4 separate regions of the Mus musculus genome follow, and regions 1, 3 and 4 are each reported to be linked to region 2. Evidence: microRNA targets listed by miRTarBase, many of them from high-throughput screens and not tested one by one. Region 2 holds a microRNA gene; each other region holds the end of a gene's coding sequence.
The links. The annotated mature microRNA mmu-miR-362-5p reads AAUCCUUGGAACCUAGGUGUGAAU and lies in region 2 at 1,997-2,020, opposite strand. An mRNA with a match to its seed (bases 2 to 7 or 8) in the 3' UTR can be bound and repressed. Matches are read on the target gene's strand: a 7mer-m8 pairs with bases 2 to 8, a 7mer-A1 pairs with bases 2 to 7 and ends in A, and an 8mer does both.

Region 1 (4,140 bases), not on the chromosome of region 2:
TTTAAAATAGAAAATACTTTTGTCCCTGAAACAGGCCTATCCCTCCTTCACTTTACTTATGGCAGTTACATATGTGCTCGGTCTTAGGTGCACTATCCTTTACCATACTACTTACAATAAGCTATTGTGCTATGTTCCCATAATGTCTTTGTACTTACAAGTGTTTTAATAGCTATCATCTTTAATAGTGTATATCTGAGCCGGGCAGTGGTGGCGTATGCCTTTACTCCCAGCACTTGGGACACAGAGGCAGGCTGATCCCTGAGTTCGAGGCCAGCCTGGTCTACAGAGTGAGTTCCAGGACATCCAGGGCTACACAGAGAAACCCTGTCTCCAACACCCCCCCCTCCCCCCCCCAAAAAAAAAAAAAAGTTTATGTCTGGTGCTGGAGAGGGGGCTCCAGAGGCCACAGGTTTGATGCTCATCATCCACATGAAAGTTCAGAACTGTCCATGTCCAGTCTCAAGGGCACCACGACTCAGACAGCATACCTGTGCTCCTGATAATGGTTTAACAGTTAACACCTTTTGTGTCTGGTATTTAGAGTGAAGATGAAGCTGGCTGTAGCTCCGTTGATGAAGAAAGTTATAAGACTTTAAAGCAACAAGAAGAAGTTTTTCGCAATCTTGATGCTCAGTATGAAATGGCAAGATCACAAACCCACACACAAAGAGGAATGGGTTTGGGTTTCACATCTTCAATGCGTGGAATGGATACAGTTTGAAAAAATATCAATTTGGGACTTTATAGACTTGTTCTGATGTTGGGTCCTTGTTCACCACACAGCTAGTATTCTAGCTTGCATGGGTGTTGCATTGACTTTAATTTATTGAAAAATACGATTTTTTTGTAAATATCAGATCAGTGATACTGGTGTTAGTGTTGTAATCAGGTTCAACCCACTTCCATTAAACTTGACAGGACTATAGAAGGACAATATTTTTTAGTTCATGAATTCTACTTTTCAAATATATTAAAGCTTCGGGTGGGATAAAATCTCATGCATAGATTTTTCTCGTGTCCGCTGTCTTGTGTACTTTTGTACTTAACCTTGTACAGTTATTTTCATCTCTTGAAACATGAAAGAAATGTTATGTAGATGTTCTTTAGAAGATCTGGCCATTTGGTACATAATCCTGCACACAAGCTGGGCAGTGATAATAAAAATGGTTTTCTCAAAACTGGTGTTAATTTAAGTTACCTGCTGTTTGGTTTGGGAGGTTGTTTGTTTGTTTTTATAATTAAAAAACTGGTTATAAATGCCTTTTTATAGCCTCTATTATAAGGTGTAGACAATATAGACAATACCACAGCGAGCTGTAAAGGGAGGGTGAGTGGAGCATATTAAAATAGTACTGTTTCTACTGTAAGGCACAATTGGTGTGCAGTATTTGTTAATCCATGTTAATCAGGAAATAGACTAAAGTATTAAAGGGATGTGAGCACTTTTACTCTAATAAAGTGCCTTATAACAAGTCCATTGTATGCTATTTGCTTATTATCCCTTTTGAAGTATTGTTCAGCAGGAACTAAGACATGAGAAAGGGGGAAAAAACATAGCTCACACTTTTAATCCCAGCACTTAAGAGACAGGTATATGGCTGAAAGTTATAGGCCAGGTTGGTCTACAGTCTTATCTCAAAAAGAAAAAAAAAAGCCACACAGGAAAACAACTTTGTGAAGCTCAGACTTGAATGATATCTCAGGGCTGTTGGCTAGAGCCCTGTGCTTTGTGGTGGGTGGTCATGTAAGGGACACCCAGCTTAACATAGTATAACTACCATATGGTAAAGACCTACAAGTGATGAAATAGGAGTCTATCTGTGATAATGGGACTATTAAAATTCCTTCTTGAAAGGGGAACTCTGACTGAGGCAGGCAGATCTCGAGTTTGAGGCCAGCCTGGTCTAGAGTGACTGCCAGGACTGTACACATAAACTCTGTCTGCTAAAACCATTAAATAACTTCTTGGAGAAAGGACAAAAAGGCTGGAATCCCATCCATCCCTAGAGAGGCAAAGACAGGAAGATTGCCTCAGGCCAGCCTAGGCTACAGGTAAACAAACCACTGGAAAAGGCCGCTCTTGCCTAGCCATGGGTTTGATCTTCACCACTGCATAAACAGGAGCACATGAGATCTCAAAAGTCTTGGAAGACCATTGTCTCAGACACAACTATTCCCACAGATAAACTTAGTGCCTGAAGCACTAAGACTTAAAATTTAAACATACACACTCACGAATAGATGGCAAGATGGGTCTCTCAGCTCATGTCACACATGCCTGATTTTCAACTACCACGGTCTGATCTGGAAGTACAGCCTGAACCATTGAAAGAACTTAGGCTTTCCTTCATTAAATTGTATTAAGTGACATTTCTTGAGTGGATTATTTATGACCTGACCTATCTACTCAATGAAGATTTGGGAGTTTGTACATAAAATTTTAACCCTGAGACCTTAAGGGTTAATAACTCAGAAGCCTGAGGAACTTGCTAGAGCTGACCGGATAATAGCAGGAGCAGGTACCCCTAGGGTCAGCAGTTCAATAGGCCCTCCTTTGAGAGCTGATAATTATGTCAACATAATAAGGATCTCCATCAAAAGGTTTATTTGGAGGAAATAGATCCTAGATCTATAGACTAAAATCTTTTCATCTAAAACTTCTCTTTCCTGGCCTATAAAACCTCAAACCCCAAGTGCACAGTTTCCTCTCCCTCAGAACTGCTCCCATTCATTTTTTTCTGATTAGACAGTATGCCTCTGTAGAGATCAGTACCTTGCCCCCATTGTAAAGATACCTTTTATTCTTCTATAGTAATTGTCTCCATGCCTTATAATCCTTGCTAATCTAAGCTTCTAGCTTCCATACACTAACCTAGGCCTAGAATATTTTCAACCTCTGAGACCTAATGCTAAGATCACCCTTTCTAGTTCTTTCCAAACTGGTCCCAAGCTAATTCATTCAGACTGGGCTTCTGACTGAATTTGCTCTGCTCGGCCTCAACTAACTGTTCTGATGCGGCTCCTCATTCTCTGGTTCATTCTGTCTTCATCTGTGGCTAGCCTGTTCTCTCTCCAGTCTCTCTGTACAACTAACTGTCTCAATAAAACTGACTCCTTCCAGCCGGGCAGTAGTGGCACACACCTTTAATCCCAGCACTTGGGAGGTGGAGGCAGGTGGATTTCTGAGTTCGAGGCCAGCCTGGTCTACAGAGTGAGTTCCAGAACACAAAGAAACCCTGCCTGGAAAAGAAAAAAGAAAGCCACCTCCTTCCTCTTTCTTTCTCCACTGCTCTCCTAGTTTTCCTTATCTCTCCTCTTGAGAGTTGGGAATATCTTATTCTGTCAAATCTTTCTCAGATTTGTCACTCTGCCACTCAGACATTTTCAGAGATGGGTGCTTCCTTCTACAAACTAACTTTACCTTCATTGTTTGGGATGTCTGGCAGTCAGATAAAAGCTGACGTTTTTCTGGACCACTGCTCCACTTCTGTTCTTCTTTCTATGCTTTTCTCTATTCTCTATCTCCCTTGCATGATAGCCCTGGCCATGTCTAGTCTGCTGACCATGTTCTTTCTGTTTAGTATACTTCGCTCTACTCTGGGCTCTTCCAGATGTGGCACAGATTATTTGATCACACTATGAACCCTGAGATTATGGTATTTATTTGAAAAACCTTGTTTTAATTGTGTGGCTCAGCCTTAGCACACACCTTTAACACAGGAGCTCTCTGCCTGAACTTTGTAAAGAGATAAAGTCACCCATATGTCAAGAGGCAGAGCAAGCAACCAGTTGACAGGAAGTGAATGCAGGATTATTAAGAATAAACATAGAAGCCGGTGGTGGTGGTGGCGCACGCCTTTAATCCCAGCACTTGGGAGGCAGAGACAGGTGGATTTCTGAGTTCAAGGCCAGCCTGGTCTACAGAGTGAGTTCCAGGACAGCCAGGGCTATACAGAGAAACCCTGTCTCGAAGAAGAAGAAGAAGAAGAAGAAGAAGAAGAAGAAGAAGAAGAAGAAGAGGAGGAGGAGGAGGAGGAGGAGGAGGAGGAGGAGGAAGAAGAAGAAGAAGAAGAAGAAGAAGAAGAAGAAGAAGAAGAAGAAGAAGAAGAAGAAGAAGAAGAAGAAGAAGAAGAAGAA
Region 2 (4,140 bases):
CCACTCTTCCTGTGAGCGAGTGACTCCTCTCCACGTAGGCCCATGTGTTTAGGCATATCTAGGGCCATGGGAGGGGGAATAGTTTGAGAAATCTCATCTATCAGACCCTGCACTGAGTCATTCATACAGAATAGAAAACAAGGAACAATAGACCTAGGTCATTCTTTTGAACAGCAGTTGGTGAGTCTATAATAGTCAAGGATCTTAGTGTGTTTATTAGTCTCCTAAGAGAGTAGCACCTCTGTTCATTTTGTTTCCTGCTACATCCTCTATGACTAACAGAGCTGTATCAAATAGTGCATACCTGAATATTTGTGAAAGGAAGGAAAAGGAACAGGGGTGTGGACATATAGGGGCTCTGTCCTTTAAAGTGCAGGCGAAGTGCCACCCTTTGGATTCCTTGGACAGGACTTACTATTGAAAACAGCACTTGTGCTGAGGATTAATGTTCCTGATGAATCAGGTCAGATAATCCTCTCTGTGGGCACAAGTCTGTGAATCCTCTCCTCTGTATACACTGCATTTATATGGGACTGTGTTAAAATATGGAAGAATCCAAGTGGACAGTGTACATGAAGTCCCAGTCTACAGTCCACTCATGCAGGCATAATGGATGTGACACAGCTCACTCTCCCTGGACCATTTGCTCCCTGAACCACATGTGGTTCATACTCCTGTGGACCAAATCCCTAGTTGAGTACCTGCCATACTGAATAAATAGACAGGAAACAGTGGAAGGAGGCGTAAAGGTCCTACATGAAGATAACTCAATGTCTGAACCCTTGCCCAGGTATATTGCATTCGCAAAGCACACTCATCCAAGTAGCAAGTACTAGAAAGGCACAGCCTGCACCTATGCCCTTGGCATGTGGGTTCAACAAGAAGGCTTACTGTTCTTGCCCTGTGCATTCCTCCAAGAGTTGAACTAAAGAAGAATTTCTCTTCCAGGTGTCGGTATGAGAACTAGAATGAAAAGCTGCGCACTTATGTCAATACACAGTTTACTATGTGCCCCACTTGTTCTTGATACCTGTTAGGGTCATAAGTGGAAATAAAGTTCTACCTATAAAATCTAGGTGGGAAGAGGCCAAATTTGTCACATTTACTCTCCCATGCACCATGCCCGTTGTATTTGTAGAAGGAAAGAAGGTGGGGGGAGGCATAAAAGAAGTATGCAAGCAGCAAACAGATGAGATATGATGCACAGACCTCCTGTCCTTCTCCATGCAGATCAGGCTCACCTTCCCCAAATCCTTGCCCGGGTGCATTGCATACAAATAGCATTTTCACCCAGGGACAAAGGATTAGAGAGGATGAGCAGAGCAGAAGGCCCAGGCACCTGTACCATGTTTGTGTGGTTCTGTATATAATATTTAATTTTCCTTGTCCTGATTCAGCCAAGCATCACCACCTATACCCAAGCTTGACATCCCTGATTTATATATGTATCTGCCCCCTTCCCACCATGAGCATCCTCTCTCAGAGAAAACTTCTACGTATACAAAATGGTATCTCTCCCAGATCATACTTGAGAATTTGTGGGGGCCTGATTTATGTTTGGAAGGTAGCAAGAAGGCTGGGATCTGAGAATGCATATACATACTGAAAGAGGGCACAGTGGAGGAGGATACTCCATTCCTTTCCAATGCCTTTATACAATTCAAGCTTTGTGGAACAGGGGTTATCACTGGATGTAACAAACGGGTTGCCTGAGTAGCAGCACCTAATGTGTGCTCCTCATCACATGATCTGACACTTAGCAAACTGGGAATCAAGAAAGCTCATGCTGAGAATAGAAGCATGTCTACCAAACATGATAAAGACCATTTTGCTGTTAGAAAATGTGTAGAACCAAGTCTGACAGCTAAAACCAAAATCAAATGGTGGCCAGGAGGAGGGAAGGTGGCAGGTGAGATGTGCAAGTATGGGCCATTCTACACGCAGACAAGGCTCAGCCTCTTTGAATCCTTGAACAGGTGTGTTGCACTGAAGCAGCATTCACACCTAGGTTCCAAGGATTCGAGAGGGGGAGCAAGCAAGAAGGCTCAGGAACCTGCCCTTCCTGTGTGTGGTCAATATGCTTGTGTGCAACACACTAAAAGAGAACGAGAGATGCGCTCTGTCCTTTACAAACACAAAGGTCTGGCTCTCAGAATCCTTGCTGAAGAACACTCTCACCCAGGTAGCAAGGATCAGAGAACTGAAGCAGGGCAAAAGGCTCACAGCAAATGAACGCATGGGCTCACCTTTGACACAAGGTGCTTATCTGTGATGAGAAAGAAGACAATGTTCTTGAGCTTCACATTAAGTATGTCTAGGCACCTGAGTTCAACTCCCAGCCTCCACATAAAAGAGCCAAGCGTGAGGACTCAAAGAAAGCTAGATCCCTTGGCCTAACTGGTGAGTGCCAAGTCCCTATTAGAGACTGTTTCAAAAAACAGGGTAGATGTCCCCAAAGGGGAAGCACCTCAGGTTGACCTCTGCACCCTCCACACACATACACAGAAAGAGAGAGAGAGAGAGAGAGAGAGAGAGAGACAGAGTGACAGACAGACACAGAGACAAAGAGAGACAGAGACAGAGAGACAGACAGACAGACAGACAGACAGAGACAGAGAAACCTGTCTAAATATATACATTCATATTTTGTTCTGAGATTATAAAAATATAAAGCCAGAGATACAAAATACTGAAAGAAAAAAAGACAGAGAGACAGAGAGAAGAGGCCATAAGCTCACAAGATGGCAGTAGAGATTGGCATCCTTTAACACACATCAGCATCTTGTTAAAGTTACTTCAGATACCTGGAGGACTTGGTACTAAGATAACTTACAGAGGTTTCTCATTAGTGAGCTCAAGATTTTGTATTTCTAAAAGGGGCTGGGTGATGCTGGGGACCTTACCAGCATCATGGATAAGACAGAGAAACTGTGGAGTTTGGTATCTACAAACCCTGTTTCAAACCTATACTTCACCATGTACTGGATTAAAGAATCTACCTGCTTTCTCCAAGGTCATGGACTACTTCTAAAAAATGAGAATAACAAATGCTATCTCTTTAAAGAGTACCAAAAAAATTAGGTAAGATGCAAGCCTAGAGTAGGATGCAGGACCTGGCCCCTGGCTATTATTTTTACCTCTTACACTACCATTTTTGTACACATGTGTCTAAATGAATGTCCTGTTTACAATAGTATGGTCATACTCATATATGCAAAAGCCAGGTGAAGGAGGCATGAATATCAGTGACTCGGAGAATCTGTAAAAGGCAATGCAAGGACTGGCTCTCTGGTAATTCTTCTTCAATGTGCCTAAATCAACGAAGTTCACACCCCTTTCTGTGAGGGATATGAAAGACAAAATCACAAGTTTCAATCTTTCACTTTCCTACTATATGTCACAGAGAGTGAAGAGAGTCAGGAGTAAGGAGAGAGGGGAGAAGTAGAGAAGGGGGGAGAGCGAATATAAATGAATGACAGTAAGGCATTTTTCTCTATGAGAAAACAAGTGTATCAAACAAAAGAAACCTTCTATGCTCACGGGCCTATATATGATGTACACCTAGCTATAGATGGGCTTCATTCATATTTGTTCTCCTATCTACCCAGCTGATGCAAAAGCATATCTATGACTGTCTAGGTATGTGTTTACAAAAATGTCAGTGTTAACAAACAAGTATACCTTCCTATAACAGCTCCGTCAAAGATGAAAACCAAGAGAGCCCACTACCCTTCCTTAGAGGTGTAAGAGAACAAGGTTAGGGGAGCAGGACTCTGTTCCTGCTAAGCTGTCAGTGGGCCTCTGCATTTGAAGGTTGCCTATGTGTGCTGAGAACGTGATGAATCAGGTTTGACACTTAGAAAGTGGAGGCTAAAGTAAGGAAGTGCATCCTGCAGCTTCTCAGGCATGTATATGTGATCGTACACAGTGAGAATGATTTTCATCCTCCTGTATGCACATGCTACAAAGACTGGACTGCCCAACTTACCACTGGCTCCACATATCAGCACACTATCATACAATCAGAACTATAGTCACATACTACATGGTGTTTGGTAAGCCACAAACTACATATACAATAGTAGTCACATAACATTTCATCACCTAGTAATCCTTATTAGTTTAACTATACACTCCCAT
Region 3 (3,000 bases), not on the chromosome of region 2:
TTTAAAAATCTAAACTCATGTTCACTAAACAAAAATAAATTTAGTTTTAGAACATTGCCTGTTATGGCAAAGTACTATAAATAGTGCATGGTCAACTTTTCTCAACTCATTTCTATAAAACATTTGATTAAAAATAAGATGAGGAACTTATTTAGTATTTAAGGAAAGAATCCAACATCTTTCCTAGTACAGAATTTAACTCAGAATATTTAAGCAAAAGCCTAAACCTTTAAAAGTACAATTTCAAAAAAGTTCCTAAGGTAGATTTGCTTCAAAATTTTAGTGCATTTCGAAGTACTTGTAGCTTCACACATGGACACCTTTGGAAGACCAACTGTGCTCTTTATATTATTGGAAAATCGGGGGTTTTTCCTTCTTGTCTGTAATTATGAAAAGTTTTTTCCGTATTTAAAATGAAATGTACCTTCAGAACATTCATCGTTAGTTGTTAGGAAAACCAAAATGCCCATGTCACTGTTTGGCCCAGAACGTAGAGGTGATAAAGCTGGCTGTGAGGAGAGCCCTTTCGGCTGCTTGGCCTTTGAGACTGTGTCTTGCAGTGTTGCCCGGCCTGGCAGGGACCTCCTGGGCTCTAGCACTCTTCCCGCCTCTGCTTCAAGCAGCTGGGACTACAGATGTGCGGCAGTACACTGGGCTTCTTCCTCTTTTGGGAAGTTTTCACTGTCTATTTGGAAGTATTGCTTTTAATTGAATCAAACTTTAAAAACAGCAAGGTTTCCCAACAATAACCTGTTTCTTTCTGGCAGCTGATAAGCACAACAGTCAAGTTATGTATTTGGAAAGTGTTGCCCTAAAACTAATCTAGTAAATGATTTAAGCAACAGACCAAAATCACTAGAAAGTGTCTTCGGGGCTGCGCTTTAACAGTGCAGTTGGGAGGAGCCAAGACTGGCTGTGTACGCACAGGCACCCTCGGAATGGCTTTCCAGCACAGGGAGGGAGAGCAGGTCCATTACCAGGGCACTTGGGGCTTCACGGGTAGACACTCTCATAGTTCCCTCTTATTTACTGTAAGAGGCTATTTTTTGGTTAATAAATGCTTGACAGGGTATTTCTTTAAGAAGCCAATTGAGAATATTTTCAAGCTATTAACCAAATAAAAATGAAAAATTTGCAAGGTACACAGAAACCAATAGTAAGTGACAATGTTTTATTGTTTTGCCAGGCTCTCTTCAGAGTAAGCTACTTATTACACAATACAAAAATAATGGCTTCCTATATAAAATGAACCACTCTAATTCTAAGTAAGTTAAATGACACATTTAAATGTGCTTCATAATAACTCTATTTATCCTTTCCCACTGTGGTGACGATCCCACCGTCTCTGTCCATAAAGACTCACAGGGAGGACTTTCCATGGCCTGCTCTGCTCTGGAGAGGCAAGGAGGCTCTGTCTGGGCATGCTCTGGGTTTGTAGCTGTTTCCTCACTTATTACGTCTCTGGGTTTCTAGACCAACCCTTCGTGGACATTACGGGCAATTATGCACAGAGGGCAGGAAAGGAGCCTCGGAGGCTCTGGAAGCATCTCAGTGGGATGATGCGCTCACTTCCTCTTTGGTCATCAAAGACTGGGAAGAATAAAATAATCAGTGTGGCTGTCAATCTTACCTGACACCAGTAACAGGTGAATGCAGAATTTACATGAAAGATCAGATTGAAAAAAGGCATCTAGCACTCTAGTATATTTACCTGTGGCTTTAAAATAATACTCAAAATATATAAATACATATATAAATGAAAAGCTAAAAACTAACATGTTTACACATTAAATGAACAGATATCTCAAATACCAAACACAATTTTCAATTTAGCCCCAAATTTCAACTTCCAAGATTTTCATTTTATAATTTAAATTTGAAAGAACTGTTTTATGCTTCTCCTTGAAGAGAAATATTTATTACACTGAAATAACTACTGGTTTTGGTTGTAATGAAACTAATTCAACTTAAGTTATGTGAATGAAAATAGTATTTTAATTAGGAGCAAACTTAAAGGCAGTTTGTCTATAAACACTGAAATGTTATAAAAGATTTTATGAGAAGTGTGCCATTTTGACATATGGCAGAAAGAACATTAGCTGTAATGTATATCCTGAAGCATCAGGAGTACAGATAACCCTGGGAATCCTTATGGACAAGTGTAGGAAACTGATTACAACTGTACTTTAACTCTCATAGGTGTAAATGAAAAAGACAGCAATGCATCTAACTATCTAATGCATAAATAACCCTGACCAGACTTTTATGAAAAGTTAACAAAACCCTTTTTCACTATCAAACTTCTATTTTATAGACTAGAATGTATAAATTTTAAATTAGCATATACCTTATTAGGGATGATCAAACTAAAAACCAAACTACAAACTCCCAAAAGGCCAAACCAAGTGAGAACAATGTTGATTGTGTTCAGTGCTGGTTGTGTTGCCCTCTTGCAAAATGACAGGCAAAATCGTACTTGTCTTTACATTTGCACCCACATACGTTACACTGAAAGGGGCTGTCATACCCATGGCACCCCATGTGGACAGTGTAAAGGACGTTGTCTGCAAAGTACACGTCACAGTGCTGGCAGTGGTGTAGAAGCTGAGGATCCTGCACCGGCAGGGTTGGAGCTGGAGTGCTTGGCTGGCTGTTTCCTATGCTGGGAGTACTGGTGTGGGCACTTGGTTCACTGCTGGGCCCTGCCACTGGACTGTAGTTCCTCTGACTATGCGATGGCCGCGGTTCCGGACTTGTGGGGGAGGAGCTCTGAGGAATACTTGCTGACACAGCAGAGACAACTGCTTGGGCAGAGGGTTGCTGAATCATGAAAGGCTTTTCATCAGGGCAGGCATCTACATCAGGAGAGGCAGGGTTTTGGTTTTCTGGTGGCAAGCTGGACAACTGTCCTGCTAAAGTAGAGAGCTGATTCAAAGGGTTGTCAACCATGAGTTCTTGGGGGTCCCTTGGCAGGCCACCAGTTGGTGTAGTTTTAGCCAT
Region 4 (4,140 bases), not on the chromosome of region 2:
GAACAAGGCTGTAAATGTTAGTGAGGAGTCAGAGTGGACAGAGAACTCTTTTCAAGGAGGGCAAGAAGATGGTGGGGATGATAAGGAGACTCATGGAGAGTGCAAGCGCCCTTGGCCACAGCACCAGTGCTCAGCACCCGCCGATCTAGGCTATGAGGGGCGAGTGGATTCATTCACTGATAGAACTAGCCTCAGCCCAGGGCCCCAAATCAACGTGCTGGAAGATCCAGACTACCTAGATCTCACACAAATAGAAGCAAGCAAACCTCACAGTACCCAATTTTTGCCACCAGTTGAGATGATTGGTCCTGGTGCACCAAAGAAAGATCTTAATGAGCTAATAATGGAGGAGAGATCAGTCAAGTCATCATTGCCTGAACGGAGTGGTGCTGGAGAGCCTCGGGTTTCTTTTAATTTGGGTTCAACAGGGCAACAGATATGCAGAATGGAGAACTTGTCTCCTGTCAGTTCTGGGTTGGAAAATGAACAGTTCAAATCCCGGGGGAAGACAGCGTCTAGGTTGTATCATTTACGCCACCACTACTCCAAAAGGCAGCGTGGATTCAGGTTTAATCCAAAGTTTTACTCGTTTCTGTCTGCTCGAGAGCCTTCTCACAAAATAGGCATTAGCCTCTCCTCACTTACTCGAAGTGGGAAGAGAAACAAGATGTTAAGAAGTTCTTTGCCATGGAGGGAAAATAGTTGGGAAGGATATAGTGGAAATGTGAAGATCAGAAAGCGTAATGATATTCCATGCCCAGACTTTCCCTGGAGCTATAAAATTTAAGACTTTTTCTTCAACATAGGCTAGCTAGTTCTCTCAGAAATATAACTATCAGAGTAGAAACAAGGTAGACATTTTTAACGTACATGTGCTTCATTATGAATCCACGGATGGCTCAACCCTTAAATGTACATAGATTGTTAGGAAATTCAAAATAGCATTTTCAATCTAATCAAAAGTATTGGCGGTTTCACTAGAGAAATTATTCAACTGGTCCCTGTGATGTGTCTCTATACCACAGACAGCCCCTCTCCACCATCCCTTCACGTCACTAGTGGAAGCTTGAAAGTTATTCGAGTCAGAATATATGGTATGGAAATCGCAACTATCTGGTCTGATGTGCCTACTCTAAAGGAAACAATGCAGAATTAAATTTTGTTGGGAAATGTCCCTCAAGATCTTGGGGACTATGGAGCATCTCTTCCCAATTGTGTGGGTAGGTGAAAGCCTAAAAGCCACACGGGCCTAAACTGCTGATGAGACGCAGTAAGCCGGTACCAAAGTGTCATGTTCTCAGACTTGGGAGGCAGGATACAGTAAGATCATTCACTTTTCATAGAAAATGAAAGGCAACTATGACATTTTTAATTAAAATACTTCATAAGGTTTTAGTTATTTGAACGTTTTATAACCTGTTATGGTGCTTTTGATGGGATTTTGTTACTTGGCATTTTAGGAGACCACCATCAGCTGGTTGTAACCTATGATGCTAATGTTTTTCACAGTACCTTCATCTCAGGAATAAAGTGGTTTAGCAGAGATGATGTGAGGTACAATATAAGAATCATGCCATTTAAAAAGAGTTGTGAAATAGCATTTCTATATTTTCTGCTTTTTTTTATGTTTACAGACAGCAAAGGCATATATTATTATAATATAAAACGTAGTTTGGAGAATGAAAAAAATGATAGTTTTAACTTCTCTAAAATTGTTTTCCCCAAGGGAATGAAGTAATTGGTATGAAGGAGGCTGAGTGTGAACCCAGAGGCCAAGTGCAAAGGAGAATGCAGATTACTGAGAGCCAGGGCTGTTTAGTTATAACTGGAAGACAAGCCAGAGTCCAGCTACTTGCTTCAGACTACAGTGACAGGTCATGTGCTTCTCATTTCAATACTTAAGTTATAGTTTATATAGTTTTAAATCCTTTCAATACTTAAGGTATATAGTTTTAAATCAACCACCTTCTGCCATTTCAAAGTTTCAAAGCATAAAGACAGCAAGTACGCGATCGTATCTGTTCAGTGAGGCAGCCTGGTTTCTCTCAGCCATGAATGCATCCATGTCCTCATGTTCCCCACCCTCACCCCCACCCTGGGCCAGTCAGGCCAACAGGCAAGAGTAGCTGCTAGAGCCATTGCTCCCAGTGCAGGCACTGCTAAATGTTCTTGCTGAGGCACTGCTGCTCCTATCCACGGTCTACGTAACACAATTCATGCTGCATTCTCCAGACCCACAGAGGGCTAAGATTCCCAAATTTCAAGACATAGATGACTAACATATATCATGGTTACATCAAGTTGTTAAAGAGACCAAAACTCAGCTTCTCTTCAGCAATGGTTACACTGTTAATCTATAGCTTTTATTTTTCAAAACTTGAGAGTAAGCGGAGATTCTCAGTGTTTTCTGTTGACCTTGGAGTCGGTCTACCCCTCTCCGACAGTACCTGTGATACACAGGTGGAGAGGAATACCCGCGGCTCCTCCTCAGCAGTGTTAATTTCATCCTCCTCTCTCTCATGCTCTGCCTACACATGGCCCTCACACATGGTTGTTGTTTTTTGAAGCCCAGGTCTTGTTGACAACCCATCAGGTACAGGGTCACTTTCAAACCAAAATTTCTAAGAAAACAAGGCAGCAGAACACAGATGAACATTCATATCCCAAAGTAGCTAAGATCATCTGTGGTTACCTGTTGGCAATGATTTTGATCAGAATGAGGAGAAAAGAAAAATTTTGAGGTGATATAGGCTTATCAGTGGGGTAAAAAAACTGGGTGGATGAAACCGGGACAAACAGACCCATTTGAAAGGTCTGGATTTTGTAGGTCTGACTACACAGCAGTGTTAACTCCATTTCTCATATCACTAGCTCTCTAGAAAATAGAGAAAAGTATTTCTAGTGTGGTCAAGTTAATAAACCAATAATGTAAAAACTAACTTCATTTGTTCACAATGTGCGTATTTATAAGGTAGTTAGGTACCATTTGTAAGGTAAGTCCTTTAACATTCTATAATATTAAAGTAGTGGTTATTGGCCTGATAAATGCTGCTGTTGGTTCTATAAACCAGACAAGAAGCAGTGCTTTGTGAAATGCAGTGTTAAATCTTAATGCCACTGGTGATAGGAAGTAGTTCCCTTCAGTTCAAATCCTCTGCCCTTATTTGCTGCTTGCTAATGTAAGCAATAAGTAACCCTCTAACTAACGGTATCTATACATTTCTGTAACTTATACTTAATGATGGTGTATCTGGTGATTGTACAATTATTAGACAGATATAAAAGTATCTATACAATATATATTAACTGTAAATGCTGAGGTATAGTCTGTGAATTATGTGTTTTGTACCTCTATTTCTTTGTGCAATTTAGTGGTGGTGAAAGTTCTACACTCGATCCTTAAAGAGTGGCAGTATCACTTTTTCAATTAACATGATCTGCATCAATTTGTTTGCTTGCTAAAACAGTTTTGTTAAAGTAGGAAATAGCAAAACAAATATAAACAAGAAAGTGTAGTATCTGATAGGAAAGTAGACAAGTCACCAACCGAGATTACTACTCCTTGTACATTCACTGTGAGTCTCAAAGGGCATCAGTCCCGAATTTCAAAGGTTTCTTTTTTTCACTTTTTGAGACATGTATATTGGGAAGGATAACTGAGATTGGCAACATTACAGCACCAAATACTGGGGCTATTAGTAATATTTATGTCTGTACAACAGAGGTCAGACAGAAAAACATGTATATACCTTTTCTTTACCTATAAGTGCCATCCATTGTCCTTGAAGTAATACAATTAAAGTCCATGTTGCATTTAACAGAAGGAGCCTTGAAAGGATCATCATTTCAAAGGACAATGTTAGTAATGTCAACACTAAGTCTAGTCCTGACCACAGTCGCCTGGTACAGCAGCACCGCTCCATTTCCATGACACCACACTCCATTGCTAGAACACTGTGCCAGTAAGAGGCCGGCATCCAAGGGGCAGATGGACATGATGCGTGACGCAGCTCAGGGTTGCGGACAAGTAAACTGCTGTGCTTCAAGTTCTTCCTCCCCACCAAAGGCTTCCTGAGGCTTTGTGAGAAAAGGTCTAAATTATTTTAATTTTTAAACTCAATTTGTTCAATGTGCTTTTCC

Region 1: the mRNA of Rsrc2 is a reported target of mmu-miR-362-5p. The part of its 3' UTR that is shown has no 7-base or 8-base seed match.
Region 3: the mRNA of Ikzf5 is a reported target of mmu-miR-362-5p. Seed matches in the 3' UTR shown: 7mer-A1 at 1,311-1,317.
Region 4: the mRNA of Ppm1e is a reported target of mmu-miR-362-5p. Seed matches in the 3' UTR shown: 7mer-A1 at 3,649-3,655.

Annotation. Positions count from the first base shown.
Region 1 is chr5:123,725,761-123,729,900 of GRCm38, reverse strand. Rsrc2 (arginine/serine-rich coiled-coil 2) reads left to right here. Exons shown (of 10, transcript NM_001005525.2): 10 at 545-1,475. The coding sequence ends at 724. Among named protein-coding and RNA genes, the nearest start is that of Zcchc8, 6.8 kb to the right of the region's middle.
Region 2 is chrX:7,240,023-7,244,162 of GRCm38, forward strand. It overlaps Mir362 (microRNA 362), which reads right to left and starts at 2,024; the gene lies at 1,960-2,024. The region is part of intron 2 of Clcn5 (chloride channel, voltage-sensitive 5); the gene reads right to left. It overlaps Mir501 (microRNA 501), which reads right to left and starts at 1,329; the gene lies at 1,221-1,329.
Region 3 is chr7:131,389,210-131,392,209 of GRCm38, forward strand. Ikzf5 (IKAROS family zinc finger 5) reads right to left here. Exons shown (of 4, transcript NM_175115.4): 4 at 1-3,000. The coding sequence ends at 2,428. It also overlaps a transcript of Pstk not described here. Among named protein-coding and RNA genes, the nearest start is that of Pstk, 20 kb to the left of the region's middle.
Region 4 is chr11:87,227,527-87,231,666 of GRCm38, reverse strand. It overlaps Ppm1e (protein phosphatase 1E (PP2C domain containing)), which reads left to right. Exons shown (of 7, transcript NM_177167.4): 7 at 1-4,140. The coding sequence ends at 787. It also overlaps a transcript of Trim37 not described here. Among named protein-coding and RNA genes, the nearest start is that of Gm22883, 89 kb to the left of the region's middle.